Schizosaccharomyces pombe: one gene and its partners. The gene in region 3 interacts genetically with the main gene of each other region. Each region holds a gene or a part of one and is shown on either strand. Other genes may lie near its edges.

Region 1 (4,846 bases), 950 kb from region 3:
CTTACCTTTATTCAATCAGACTCATGTATTTTGTTCAGCTCAATTTATATTTATAAGTAATGTACTTCTGTAGCATCCCACTCATTATAATAAATCGTTCTAATAAACATCGAAAACGCGTTATTAATTACAAAAAATAACCATGCTATAAATTTGAAGCATTCTTAAAATACTAAACATGAAATACAACTATTTTTTCTTGGCTAGAAGTTAGTACCAGCAAACTCGAAATTTGCCCACCTTCCCAAACCTCATCTCGTGTATGATATTACATCTTCTGCTTTCATGTACACCCATATTTTTCTGAACTACAAAATTTTTTTCTTACGCATTTAAATATAATTTATTAAAAAGGTCAATATGCTTCAAACATTAATAGGCGTTCACTCGTACATGCCATGGTGCTATGAAATTCCGGCAATGGCTATATTCCTTCGTTCTACTATTACATTGCCAATTGCTATTGCAAGCCTTAAAACGGCTCGTCGGTTTGTGCAAGTGCAACCACTGATCAAAGAAGCAAAGAAACGTTGCCGAACAAATACCGATTTCCGTACTGTACGAAAAAAGCTGTACAAAAGGTTCAATTGTCATCCTCTCATGATTTACGCATTGCCTATTACTCAACTACCTTTATTCGCGTTTGCATCTTATCAGTTAAGACAGGCAGTCGATGTATGTCCCGAGAGTATGTCAACAGAGGGTATGCTTTGGTTTACCGATCTCACATTACCAGATCCTCACGGTGTACTACCTGCGGTCCTTGCTGTTACTTATTTAACAAACATGTCTATATTGAAGCGACCTTCGGATTCTCGATTGCTGAAAATATTCAATACCGCTGGTATAATGTCTGCTTTCTTTGTATCTTTTATGGCATTTAAGACTTCTACGGCATTGTCTTTATACTGGACTACCTCTGCAATTTACTCTTTGGTACAAAACGTTGCATTGAGAAAGCTGTTATAGAAGAGCAAGAGTAATTCTACATGTTTGGTTCTGAAAGGTCTTAACAAAATCAAACCTGACTAGTCGAGACTCACATATTATTCCTTCTTTCTTTCCGTACATAATTACCTACATTCTTATGGTAAAGCTAGGTTTTTGATTTGTTATGGCCTACCAAAAGGAAAATCTTTTGTCACAAAACATCTGATCATGGCAAAAACTGACTGAATTAGTAATGAAAAATAAGATACTTTATTATTAAAATGCCAAATAATATTTAATAAATATCATTAGTATTACAGGCTTGTTCGTGTGACATGAGTTTGGCATTTCAAGGATGACTACCTGCAAAGCTTTTTGAGAAATGCAACCTCGCCGATTACTCCATTTTTAAGGAAGAATTTAACTATTGATTTCATGTAAGTCGTTTTTAAAATTTACATTTTTTTTAAAAACATTTGACTTATTCACACTGTTTATTACGTTAACTACGGTAAATTTCGATAATTTTCCCACTTGCACATCCTTGACTTAAGCTAACCACCACTATGAGCTGCATATTTTGTAAAATTGTTAAAGGAGATATTCCTTGTGTGAAACTAGCTGAAACAGCCTTGTCTTTGGCTTTCCTTGATATTGCTCCTACATCTAAGGGACATGCACTAGTTATTCCCAAGGAGCACGCCGCTAAGATGCATGAACTGAGCGATGAGTCTTGTGCAGATATTCTTCCCCTTGTCAAAAAGGTGACAAAGGCTATTGGTCCTGAAAATTACAATGTACTTCAAAACAATGGTCGCATTGCTCACCAATTTGTGGATCATGTTCATTTCCATATCATTCCCAAGCCTAACGAAGAATATGGATTAGGAGTAGGCTGGCCCTCTTATCCTATTTCTCCTGAAGAAATAAAGGCATTGGGCGAGGAAATCAGCTCTAAGATTAAATAGTTTTTTTTTGTTCTGTGTGTCTCGTTGAATCGAAACTTTCCTTGACTTGGCGAGAACTATAAGGAAAACATGAGCCCTGTCTTTGTAGAATAGGCTTGTGTTTTTCATGAAAGTCGTTATTGGGTGTTGTTTGACGTTTATGTTTTTTAGAAATGAAAAGTTTGTTTTATACACTTTTACCTACTTGTTTTACCTTTCCAATGTAAGTAGTTGCTGTTATCTTTGCATAGTTTAAGGTGAATAAAGGGATTTTGTTTAGTAGTGTGCATACGGAATGTATGGTACAAATGTTTGGACCTGTTATTCTAGTGATTAGAAAAGGTGTGTTTGAAGAACATTGTTCAAATTGTAGTCTAAGGTCTAAATATTAATCCATGCAGGGTAGTTGGTTTCCTAATATGAGGTTATGAAACTTGCAGACGGAAAGATTAGTAAATGTGCATCAGAGAATGTTTATTTCCAGTATCATATTATTTTATTGATGACCTAGCTTGTTTTTTTTCTTTTAAGAAAATGAAAGACATCTTGCGGCGTCAACTTAAAACTTGATTGTTTGAAGAAATTTTTGCCGGACAGCATTGAAGAATTCTAGTATTTTTAACATGCAAAATTATATTTGAGCCTTTCTATCAGGGTATTGCTAATAATTGATCAAAACCACTGCGATAGTATTTACTTACCCAAAGTAACAATTATTCATCAACCAAGTCACACTTGGTTTATAGTAGCAAGCTATACTGCACGAACAAAACTTTTATAATTGAGAGCGAATTTGTGGAATAGTCAGGCTTGATTTTAATAAATCCCTATTATTATCCTTGATCTCATAAAATTTAAGTTTCTTGGGTTGTGCATTCTTTATAGCACCAATGCCAACTCAGGCTGGTTTTTGTAAATTTGCTGAATTTTCGAACATTTATTAATACAATGGCAATTATTGTGGAAGACGGTTCTTTTATTACATCTTCTCAATGGGAAAATGTAGAGGCATCTCCAAAACCTCCTCCAAGGAAGCCAAAGATTGTTCAACCAAAAAAGAAGCCATCGAAGCACTTGAGCAATGAGGATGCTTTAGAAAAATATGAAATGCTGTTTGGTGAAAGGAGAAAAGAAGTGGAACTAGATTATATGAGCCACATTGCGGAAGAAGAGACTTCGTTGAGCATGATTGAGTATGATCGTCATTTTGCACTTCAAACTGACGTGAAATTGTCAAAGAAAAGAAAATCCAAACTTGTTGAAATGACTCCTAAAGGTTTGAAAAAAAGGAAACGCGTGCAAATACAGGAAGGAAGTGTGTCAACCAATACAAAAAAGCGTATGGACGGTCATGTTGTTGGTTCTAGCGCTCCCGCTATAAATAATGGCAAAGGAAAACAACTTTTAGAAATGATGGGTTGGTCTCGGGGGAAGGGACTTGGTTCTGAAAACCAAGGAATGGTTGATCCGGTTGTGGCTGTTGTAAAAAATAATAAACAGGGTCTTCATTAGTTTTTGACGAGGAGATTTTAAATCCTCATAGTGTATATTTACAAAACATTATTTATTTAGAAGGAAAAATTACTTTTCACCATCATTTTGGGAAAGTTTCTTTTTTATAAAGAATTTTATTTTTGGTTGCTCATCATGATGACTATATAAGAAATAATAATTAAAGGAATTTTACTATATTTTACCGTTGAGGGTACAATCACTTGAAATAATTCAATTTCATAAGTTTTTCATAAAGAGAGCAATAGAAAACTGGTAAGTTGAAAAACAGCTTCTAATTGTTAAAAGGACGGAAATACATATTTGGAAAAGGGGGAAGGAATGAACAATGATGAGTGCATTTACGTTAAAAATGGTTAAGTCGAATAGGTGAAGGACAGACTTATCTTCGAAATGGAAGAAAAAAGGAAAAACAGGATATGAGAAGAGATTCAGTAAGGATTATAAATTTAAGAGAGGAAAAGGCTTCGCATGCGAGTAACATCAAAAGCAAAAAGTGAAAAAAACTGTGTATACCCAGATCGCTGTACTGTAAAGTTTCATTTGGATTCTATTGAATAAAAGCATCAGTTGATCAAACTAAAAAATCGATCAGTTAATATAAACAAAATAAAAAAAAAGAGCATTCTAAACATATTTGAGCGAATGTAATAGAAACGTACTTTTTGGAACTTTGAGTTTCTTACTAGTCATAGCAATTCCACTCAACACAAACAAAACCACAAGCGGGTGAAATGCAAAAGGTGTGTTTCCACACCACTCACCCCAAGGTAGATTTTCATGAGTCTTTCCCTTTAAGATACAAACTCCGCAAACGGTTACTAAGGAGAGGGTGGTAGGAATGGGCGTTCCTTCGAAAAACTGAGACTTGCCAGATCCATCTTTAGGAATGGAATTGACAGAAACATTAAAACGAGCCAATCTAGTTAGACCACACAAAACAAAAAGGGAAAGTATAACGGTATCAAGGAACGTTTGGAATCCACAACAAAAGGCAAAGACGGCTGGAGATACGCCAAATGAAATCTATTTTGTTAGTATAATGATATAAAAAGACCGGATAAGAGAGAGAAAAAATATATATAATCAAGAATTATACGCAATCGCATGTTTATTGAGAAAAATTCAGACTCATTGAACAAACCGACATAATGTAAAAAACGAGAAGCAAAAAAAAAAAGCTCGACTTAGCTAAAATGAAGAAAAAATTCAACCAAAGAAGCCTCTTATCATGTTCCTCGTGTTTTTATCATGTCAAAGCAACCAATGTGAAAATAGTCTCGGAACAGATTTGAGAAGTTATACATACCAGATCAGCAAGACTATCCAATTCCTGACCCATTAAGGAAGATTTCCCACGCCAACGAGCCACTTTACCATCCAAAAAGTCAAAAAACAACGCAAATGGCATAAAGTACATTGCATTCCATAAATGGAAAGCTGATTGCTGTCCGCTT
Region 2 (5,366 bases), on a different chromosome or scaffold from region 3:
AGTATCTGAAAAGTATTATAAAACTGTATAAAGCAATATAAATACAAGGGCGGTTCGATCCCGATTGCAAACGCTGGAAAATCTAGAAATATTGGAAAGTTGCTTCTTTCACCACTTTAGTAGAAGGAGTTGGTGATTATTATGATATTATTATCCATTCAAATTTGAATCTCTTAATGCGCACCGTTGCTACGTCTTGTCTGCGTCAGGTGGCGATCCCCATAAATATTGATGCTTGTCATAAATGTTGCGAATGTTCGCCTACGTATTTCATTTTGACATTTACAATCATAAAAGGATTTTAGATCCTTTCCATCTCGAAACAATTAATCAAACTATTCAAGCGAACAAGAACTTTTTATTTTTGGAACCATCATGTCAATTATGCGCTCAATTATGTCGAACCGCCTGGTTCGCTGGTCAAGAGAATATCCAGAACTATTTGTAAGCTCAATTTTTTTTTGAAAAATATATTGAGTTGATTATTTCGTAAGCTGATCAGTTTGCTGTTAGATAACTTGGTGTGTCATGACTTATACCTTTGGAGTTGCTGGTTATATGCTTGGTATGTTAAAAATTAGTAGAAAATTAGAAATCAGCGCAGTTAATGAAACATTATACTCAATTTTAATATTCTGTTAAAATTTTCCTACAGAATATTTATTTTACAAGCGCATTTACATATGATTGTTTAAATTAAATGATTGTAGCTAACAGTTTTTTAGGACAGCGGGGCTTGTTGGTACAACATGAAGATCAAGTCCGAATTCCTTCAAAAAATGCTCACCCCTGGGAAGACACCAAAAGCAGTAGCGGAAAAAGTGATGAGAGTCTTGATTATAGCTACAAGTATTATCCTCGAGGAGATAGGAGTAAAGAACCTCGAAAGGCACCTTCTGCTATTCAATACAGCACTTTTCCCGTTAAAGGTGTATCAGAAGAGGTACTTGAGCGATTCTCTAAGTAAAGCACATTAAATTGTGTATAACCTTTTAGGAATGAAAGAGAACAATTATTACATTGCCAAATATTTTTTTAGTGCTTTTTCACTTTACAAATATCTCACTCTCTACTTTATGGTAGGCTCTCATTTTTGGAATATTTGCCCTGATATATTGCAATATTTCCAAACATCTTCTTAGTTATGATTTCTTGCTTTATTGCTTTAATGTATAAAAAAAATATTTGCTTATTAACCTGTGTTTGAAAACGGAGTTTAGGCACCACTTTACCAACTTCACAATTTATACAGCATTTTGAAGATAATGATAAATTTGTAAACAATAACAAAAAATAAGCTTGTTTGAGATTTTCAAATAACTTAAATTGACCTAGTACTTGTTGTCGTTTAACGTTAAGCTTAATCAATAGCCGAGTAATTAGTAAATGGGACTTGCCGAAAACAACGCTTTTCAACTTAGAAAATTTAGCAAACCCACTCATACCTTTTAATAAGCATGGTCAACGCAGCCATAGTTGTTTCCTCAAATCGTCCAAATGTGCTTGAACAGATTTCCTCCTTGTTTAGAGATGGGAAGACTCGTTCTCTGGGGGAACAGTGGACTTTAGTATCAGGCCAACTTAAAGGAACGTTTGAAGATGCTAAAGACGCTTGTAACCGCATTTCTGCTACTGAGAATGTAGACTGTAATTGCTTGAGTGAAGCAACATTTTCCACTAAAAAGAAGCTTGTAGTATTTGACATGGACTCGACGTTGATTCAACAAGAGTGTATTGACGAGCTCGCGGCAGAAGCAGGCATCCAGAAAGAGGTTGCTACGATTACATCTCTTGCAATGAATGGGGAAATTGACTTTCAAGAATCACTTCGTCGTCGCGTTTCTCTACTACAAGGGTTGAGCGTCGATGTCATAAATAAAGTCATTGGCAAAATTACTTTCACTCCAGGAGCTAAACAGCTTTGTCATTGCCTTAAGCAAATGGGTGCGACTCTTGTTGTCGCTAGTGGTGGATTTGTTCCAATGGCTGAATATGTCAAGGGACAACTGGACTTGGACTATGCATATGCCAATGTACTTGAATTTTCCGATGATGGTAAATTCCTCACTGGAAAAGTTCAAGGTGCAATTGTAGATGGACAACGAAAAGCTTCCATTTTGCGTGAAAAGAGGGAAGAGTTGGGTTTAAATAAGCTCGAAACGATGGCTGTTGGGGACGGAGCTAACGATTTGGTCATGATGGCCGAATCCGGTTTAGGAATTGCGTTCAAAGCTAAACCCAAAGTTCAATTATTGGTATGTTCGAAATTTTTTTACAAATTTATGTTTTTAATGATCTTACTAACTCGATTTTTTTTTTTAATTAGGCTGATTCGAAAATCAATCTTCCATCTTTGCAAAACGCTCTTTACCTCTTGGGTATTGATGAGCAACAACAAAAAAAGCTATTGGAAAACAAAAATTAATTTAGAATTTCCAAGAATTTTTCAATCGCAAGGCGCTGTCAAGAACTCTGAGCTACTGTGGCTTGGTTTTTATAAAGCAATATTTTACTTGTGCGCGTGGTCTTTTTTTCTGTAGTAGGAGCCGTCTTTTATATACCCTACTTCTTTATTTTTGATACTCTTATTTTTCTTTTTCCTTAATTTACAATTTTGGTATGATCAATGCTTCATTGGAAAGGGTGTGCAATGAATGCTTAAAAAAAAAGGGGCAGTTCAGAAGCTTTCTTCTTTAAAACAGACAAGAATTACTCAATTGGTTTTTATAAAGCCGATCATTTACTCTTAAATCTGCTTCGTTATGCTGATAGACTTTGAAATTGATTCGTGCAATGACTACACCTTCGTTTCATAGACCTTTCTTTATTATCATTTATTAATTGTAAATAATACAATTGTATCTAGTTATTAAGAGTTGCAGAAAACATGTGCTTTTGACGTATTTCAACACCGTTTCCCTTGTATATATTCAGAGGTATTCATATACTACTACCCATGCGAGATTCATTATGGCTAAATCACCATTCCTGGAGCTTTCTTACGATATATTGCTAGAAATTAGTACATATCTTGATTATAAAGATATAGTTCATTTGTCAGAAACATGCAAGTCACTTTCGTATGTTTTTGACGACAAAACAATTTGGCATCGATTTTGTGCACGGGTCCAAGGTCTCACCAATGTAGTCCCAGTTGTTGATGATAATTACAAAAGACCCTATGCTGTATGGAAAGACCGAGGATACGCTTACTCATGGGGGCAACAGATAAGAAACTATTTGGGCCGCGTCGTCAATACAAATCAGTATCCTCGAGATCGTCCTGGTGCATTGACTGGGAAGGACGTTCGTTCTACTATTCAGGTTCAAGTTGGGTAAGCGCATAGATACAGGAATTTATTTGACTGCACTACAATGACTAACTATTCCCTATGCGGAATTTAGAGGTTATGGGATGTATTTATTAAATGAAAACGGAAATTTATATGTTACGGGGGTACCAAACAATGTTGGGCCCGAATTGATGAGAGATTTAGAGCCAATTGTGAAAATCCATGCTGGTCGAGAGTTTTGTCTTGCACTCGGTGAGACGGGACACTTGTATCAAGTATCTCTAAAAACACGAATTTGCTTGACAGATGAACAAAATATGCTATCAGCCTATCGCGGAAGAATTGCTAATTTTAAATCAGGTTGGGACTCGCATTCGGCGTATGTGCCGGGCATTGGCTTTCTTGTCTGGCACACTGGACGAGAAAGTGAAGCGCAACTTTTCCAGCCAGAGGCATCGATGAAGGAATTCGTGCTGAACGATTATGTTCACTGCGCAGGATTCCTAGTGTATACTGTCGCATCACCTCAGAAAAAAGGCGCCGTGTTTCGTTTAGACCTGGACCAAGCTACACAACACACGCTAGGAAGAGAATTGAAGAGGTTCGCTTCGCACGACCCCCATCAAGGTTGGCATTTAGCAGGCAGCTTTGAAACTTTCACATGTTTATCGGACGATGGCAATACTGTTTACATGGGTCATGCTAATACCAAGCAGGTCGATGATGACCCGGTTATCCACGACTTTCTCCAGAACCGAGGAATTAAGCAATTGGCGCATGGCGATCATCATCATCTTTACTTAACAAGCGATCATTCCATATGGTCGTGGGGTGTTGAATTACGTTATTGTGGGTGTTTAGGTTTGGGTTCTCTTCATTTGCAAGAACAGACATCTGATCCCAGCATTGTTTCTGATCCACGCACCGCACGCAACATCGTTTCCATTCCACATCAAATTCACTTTTCAGGAACTTGCTATTCAGTTGCAGCCGGCGGATGGCAAAGTGCTGCTCTCGCCATTTCGGAATCTGTTTTACCCGAAGTCAATGTGCCTCCAATTACAACTTTTTCTATCATCCGACCATCCAGAGTTCCAGCGTTGCGCTTTTTAGCTGCCCCTGCGACTCGGACTTTGGAAAGGGACGGCTAGGTGAAATAGTGATCAACTTTGCTTGGTAAGCTAATTTCCGCGTGCGCACTAGAGAAGGATTTTATTTTGTCCGCTAAGTAAGTGAAATAAATAAATATCTCGGCCACCTCGGACTTCCGAATTTATCTCTATTTTTACTAATTCCTCTAGGTAAGCCAATTATAAAAAAAAGCAGCACAAGGAAAACACAACGGTGATTAAATAAGTGAGAAAATTTTTTTTCCTTCTTCCTGTATCGCAATTACATAAAGTACACACATTGACCAATTTATATTCCTGACCCCTGTGAATTAAGTTACTGTGCTACTACGACGAGTTTTTACCAAACATTATTATTTTTTTTAATTGATTTGGACTGTAAGGAAGGTTACCGATTTTCATATTAAATCCTCGGTGGTCAAAATTTGTTGGGCTCTTGCTCTCTATTTGTCGTTTGCGTTGGTGGTTTGTAATATTCCTAACCACCCCATTTTTTTCTGGCGACCCTAACTTGGGGGTTTTGTTTACAGATCCAGGTGTCGAGAAAACCGGTATTTTCAGGCAGAAATCGATCTTAAGAGACGATTTTTTCTTGTTGGGTTGACTACCTTGTACCTGAAATCTGTTGTGCGAAAATTTCCAGATTTAAAAAATCGTGGATTGATTGAAGGGCAATTGAAGATTACGGGATGCTATTTTCCTTTTCATGCAATTAGCAAGTATTACTGATTTATTTGTAATTCCACAGTGTCTGATTTATTTTTGTTAACAACTATATTATAACACTTTTTTTTCTTTGCCTTCATCATCATCATCATCATCATCGTTGTTCTTTGTTTCTTTCAATAAGCATTTTGTCATTTTCTTTTATCATTATTGTCTTTTTTTCATATTTTTGTCGGTTGACTGATTGATTGTAAATAAAGTCTCATAGTTATATAGA
Region 3 (4,862 bases):
GCAATGGCCTAATTTTACTTCAAACCTTGTCAAGAAGACACGTAACTAACACATTAATGATAAGCCAACTTGCCGGTTCTGCCACCTCAATACTTGCACGCTTTGTGTCGCCAACAAAGACTGGACCAGCTAATGTTTTTCCAGATTTGACTGGATACACTCCAGTAGACCGTGCAAAGCCAGTGGCTAATGCTCCGTTTTGGATTTGCCTGATCTTGAATGTAGCTCTATGTATCATGTATCTTCGGTGCTATCATAGAGAAAACATTAGCAGACCGTGATGATTTAACTATTTCTTTTATTGAGATCGTTTTTAGTCTTTTTTATGATTTTTTTTCAAATTAATAAACGTCATGTTATTGTACTTTACCGTGATTTTTAAGAGTAGAGAAAAGCGTGTAATTTAATTTATAATGCAAGATATATTGATACGGGTTAATCAATTTACAGGTTGATTTTATTAAATAATTCATTTTATGCACTAATTTTATCAAGTTGCGATTTAAATTTTAATTAGCATATGAGTTATTAACAACCGCATATTATTTCCATGGTACCAGAACACACTACTTTTTGAGGAATTCTTCGGATTTGAGAATATAGCTTTACATACGAATATTTTTATTTACTTCAAACGTTTTGAGGATTAAAGGACATGGAATCGAAGTCGTTGAGAGAGTTATGGGAAGAAACTGAGAAACTGAAGGATTCATCAAGCACAGATGAAAAAACAAGATCTGAAATTGTGGAAGGCTACGAAAAATGTTTGAAACTTGTTCTCCAGTTACGAATTTTTTCTTCAAACGAAGAAGTAGATGAAATAAAAACCAGCGAATTACGATATTTAATGATTGATTATGAACTTGCCAAATGTGTGGAACAATGGACCAAAGGAGATCGACTAAAAGCCGTCCAGTATGCAAAAACTCATTATGAAACATTTCTTAGCATTTGTGATGATTACGGACTAAAACCAATGCAAGATGAAAAACCAAAAACTGAGGCTGATACAAGGACTCTAAAAATCGCCAGATACAGAATGCGTCAAAACCTTGAGAAGGAGTTAAAGGCTTTGTCTAAGGACTCGGAAACCAATGAAGAGCAGGAGAGGAAATTTTGGCTCACTAAATTACAAATTGCTGTTGAAGATACATTGGACTCCCTTCCTCATATAGAAATGGAAATTGATTTACTAAAGCGAGCACAAGCAGAATTAATGAAATCAGAAGACAGTCCAGAGAAAGATGAGGAGACTCTTAGGAGAGAGGAACGAAAGCAAAAAGAAGGATCTTCTTGGCGTTTGGACTTAAATACCAGGGACAAGATTCTGGACAAAAATAATCGGCCCCTTCAACCATTTACCATTGTATCGGATCGAAATGAGACTCGAAAAAATGTTTTTGGATTTGGCTATAATCTACCCACCATGACAGTTGATGAGTATTTAGATGAGGAGATGAAACGTGGTAACATAATAAGCCAAAAAGATAACCCCCCTAAGTCAGACTCCGATGATGAAGATGATTATGAAAAATTGGATGCAAAAACAATGAAAGATCGTTACTGGGATGAGTTTAAAGAAGCCAATCCTCGCGGTAGTGGAAATACTATGGTAAATCGTGGTTAAATGATTTAACTCCCTGATAGATTAACGTATCATGGCTTTCTAGTAATAAGCCAGAATTTGCTGGTTTCCTTGATGTTTCTCTCTATTTCATGAGTCTAAGATATGATGTGAACTTCATAACTAAATTCAGTTTATGGAAAATCGACTTATTAAATTACAGATTTGTTTTTTCTATTTTACAAATAAAAAACGAACCCTTTTATTTTAAAACTGTTTTGACGATTTAACTTAACCTATTTCTCTCATGTTAACCACTGAAAGTCTTTTCTGCAGAAAGCATTCGAAGTATTGGAAAGATGGGCTTCAAAATTAGTACCTTGAAGTAGAAACCTTTCAATCAACCTATAAAAATACTTTACAGATGTTTTTATGACAATTGAAATGCATATTATTTCATACAGAATACGCTTTTATACTGCAGTGCTGTATTCTTGATTAACGAACATGACCGTCTGAAATTTTTTTAGTTGGTTCGTGAAGTCAAAGGTCACTTGGCTCCTTATAATATGGTTACTGCAAGCTCGTCTGTTCGAGTGAGCAATGAAGATGAATGTTTTATTTATGACATTGAACAGTTGAAGGACAATGTGGTGGTGAGCTACTCTACTGGTTCGTGGAGCTGTTTTGACAAGGGAACCTTACTTGAAATTTTTAAAGTGCCTAAAGCGCACACGAATATTACTGGAATCATTAGTTGCGATCAGTTGAACGGCGTAATAACTTGTGGCTCCGAAGGAGAGATACATTTGTGGGATATTCGTTCGCAGGCGAAATCTGCAGTTCGATCGTGGACTCAACAATCTACCCCCTTTACCTGCATCGCCTTGAATAAAAAGAACCAGTTTGCAACGGGTTCAGAGTTAACTCGTTCGTTGGCTTCTGTACAATTGTGGGACGTTAGAAGTGAACAAAAGTTAATTAGACAATGGAACGATGCACATAATGACGATATTACTCATTTGCAATTTCATCCAAAAGACAATGAGTTGCTTCTTACTGGGTCAGTAGACGGTCTGGTGAGTTTACTAGATACTACTAAGGAAGAGGACTCGACTGATCCCGAAGAAGATCCTCTTTTACATGTGATTAATCACGGGGCCTCAATTCATTTGGCTAAATTTGTTTCTAAGAAACGAGTGATGGTATTGTCTCACATGGAGTCTTATGCCATGTACAAGCTTAAACGTGATAAAGACGAGAAAACGTGGAGCAGTAACGAGTTATTTAGTATTGACGACTTGCGTGCAGAACTTTCATGTAGCTATGTGATTAACGAAGTTTCGACTAGTGACAAACAGTTTTGTGCGTTGGCTTTTGGTGATTTTTCGAACCATGAAACTAAGTTCGTTCTTGTGGATACGAGTACAGGTGAGCTGAAAAAAGAACCCACCAAATTGGAAAGAGCCTCGGAAGAAATTTGCCGCGCCATCAGTTTTGATGTAAAGAACGATGTTTACTATAGCGGTGGTGAAGATGGATTACTTCAAGCTTTTAGAGTCTAGTCATTTTGAATTGTTATAAATGTTGTTAGAGTTGTATGCACGAGCGCATTTCTTAGTTAAAGGATGGAAAAATTCGAAGTTATTTAATATAACTAGCTCTCTCATTCCAAGGGAAACGGTGCTGAGATGATCATTTGTTCATCACGTTGTTTATGAAGATGAAAGCCACTTCATTTCATTTTGTTTAACGTTGTTTGCAAGAACTCTCCTTTTAAAATCTTAAAAAAAATCTCTCCTTTTTTCTTAGAATTTTGTTTCATACAGGTACAATGGCTATCTCTGTTTTTGTTGTTTGGTCTGTTTAGGCCCATACCGGCATTTTATTTATTTTTTTTTTTTTAATAACGAGTTTTATTAAGAAAACAAAAAAATTAGTACACGAATTGTTCTAGTGTAAGGAAACAATAAAAAACCTTACGAGGTATATGTAAAGAATATGTATTGAGTCGATAAAATGTAAGACATGAGTATGCAAAGTATTCTTATCATTCCAATCTCACTGTATTTTGTGCTCTTTTAAATCCTTTACAGTCAACGTTACTCATATTATCGCTTTCATGTTGAAGCAAAAGTCATCGTAGCCAATTGAACGATGAACTATTACCATCTTATGGTGAAAATAATCAATTGTGGCTTTCTTGTTAGTAATACGTTCGTTTTAGCAACATTATTCCAAGCATATTTGCAAGTACATTCAATGTATATCGAAGAAGATTTAATTCTGTTTATCAAACACTGTTTACTGAATACATTGAGCATATTTTAAAGTAATATCGTCCAGGACACTATGCCTGAGTGGTTAAAGGGACAGACTAGAAATCTGTTGCGGTCTCCGCGCGCAGGTTCAAATCCTGCTGGTGTCGAATTTTTTATTTTTATAACGACTCTCCTTGAGATTGCAATGAAGACCTTTTATTCATTTAACAAGGATGTACTTTAGTTGTAGAAAAGTACTCTTTCACATTGCTGCTTGCATGTAATTGTTGCAGATGGAGATGGTTGTATACGCTTCTTTATTAGTACTCAAGTTTAAATTGGAAATGCGGTACTAATTGAGCAAATGAAAAGTACTAAAATAATGTTTCCATAAATTTTTTGATTCCTTAAAGGCTTTATTTTCATACTAGCAATTTATAATTTTTGAATGGATATAATGTTCCCTAAGGAGATATGCCTTAACCTCACTAGCAATCCAAGTTAACTAATACTTTACTATTCACTATATAGTAAATATGAATATAAGTTTAACTGTTATGATTAAGCAGCAGATCAAATCTGAATAAATGAATACTATACGTGTTCTCTAAGATTTCTATTGAAATGCGGAAAAGATCATCCTTAGTCAGTAGCAAGCCGATTGTGGTTGTAAACAAGACTAGCAATGCGCTGGTAAAGATATATCACCTTTCTTAATAAGCTAGCCTGTAATTTTTTTTTTTATTAAATATATAATCGCTTCTTTTCATCCACTGTTAGCATATTTCAAGTTATATAACATTATCTTAATAAAAAAAATAAATTACGAGACATGGCATTTTTTGCCATCCAATATGCTAAAAATTATAACGAACGATAATCTATCGCTAATTATGATTCAAGGTTGGTTAGGAAATTCACATTTTCAAACGAAGCATTTTCGGTGGGCTTTTTGAGGAAATTACATGGAAAAAGGTCGGGGCTACATTATATTATACATATAATTTGTTATGAAAGGATGGCCAAGTCAAGGTTTG

The links.
Region 1: mutations in SPOM_SPCC63.06 (region 3) and sqs2 together harm fitness more than expected from each alone (negative genetic interaction), as found in Schizosaccharomyces pombe (one large-scale study listed by BioGRID).
Region 2: mutations in SPOM_SPCC63.06 (region 3) and pof9 together harm fitness more than expected from each alone (negative genetic interaction), as found in Schizosaccharomyces pombe (one large-scale study listed by BioGRID).

What each region holds. Positions count from the first base shown.
Region 1 is NC_003421.2:1,789,889-1,794,734, reverse strand, and holds sqs2 (G-patch type RNA-binding protein), read left to right. Parts: upstream 1-2,660; 5' UTR 2,661-2,825; coding exon 2,826-3,389; 3' UTR 3,390-3,924; downstream 3,925-4,846. Other genes in the region: protein Cox18, read left to right, coding at 361-969; hnt1 (adenosine 5'-monophosphoramidase), read left to right, coding at 1,497-1,898; CDP-diacylglycerol-serine O-phosphatidyltransferase Pps1, read right to left, coding at 3,964-3,968, 4,052-4,415, 4,699-4,846.
Region 2 is NC_003423.3:1,868,877-1,874,242, forward strand, and holds pof9 (F-box protein Pof9), read left to right. Parts: upstream 1-2,956; 5' UTR 2,957-2,970; coding exon 2,971-3,335; exon of another isoform or gene 3,336-3,405; coding exon 3,406-4,444; downstream 4,445-5,366. Other genes in the region: SPOM_SPBC3H7.08C (uncharacterized protein), read left to right, coding at 376-444, 514-565, 726-967; phosphoserine phosphatase Ser2, read left to right, coding at 1,458-2,255, 2,327-2,425.
Region 3 is NC_003421.2:843,791-848,652, forward strand, and holds SPOM_SPCC63.06 (WD repeat-containing protein), read left to right. Parts: upstream 1-2,120; 5' UTR 2,121-2,133; coding exon 2,134-3,129; 3' UTR 3,130-3,562; downstream 3,563-4,862. Other genes in the region: spore wall alpha-1,4-glucan synthase, meiotic Mok14, read left to right, coding at 1-281; tap42 (TAP42-like family protein), read left to right, coding at 656-1,627; thg1 (tRNA guanylyltransferase), read left to right, coding at 4,844-4,862.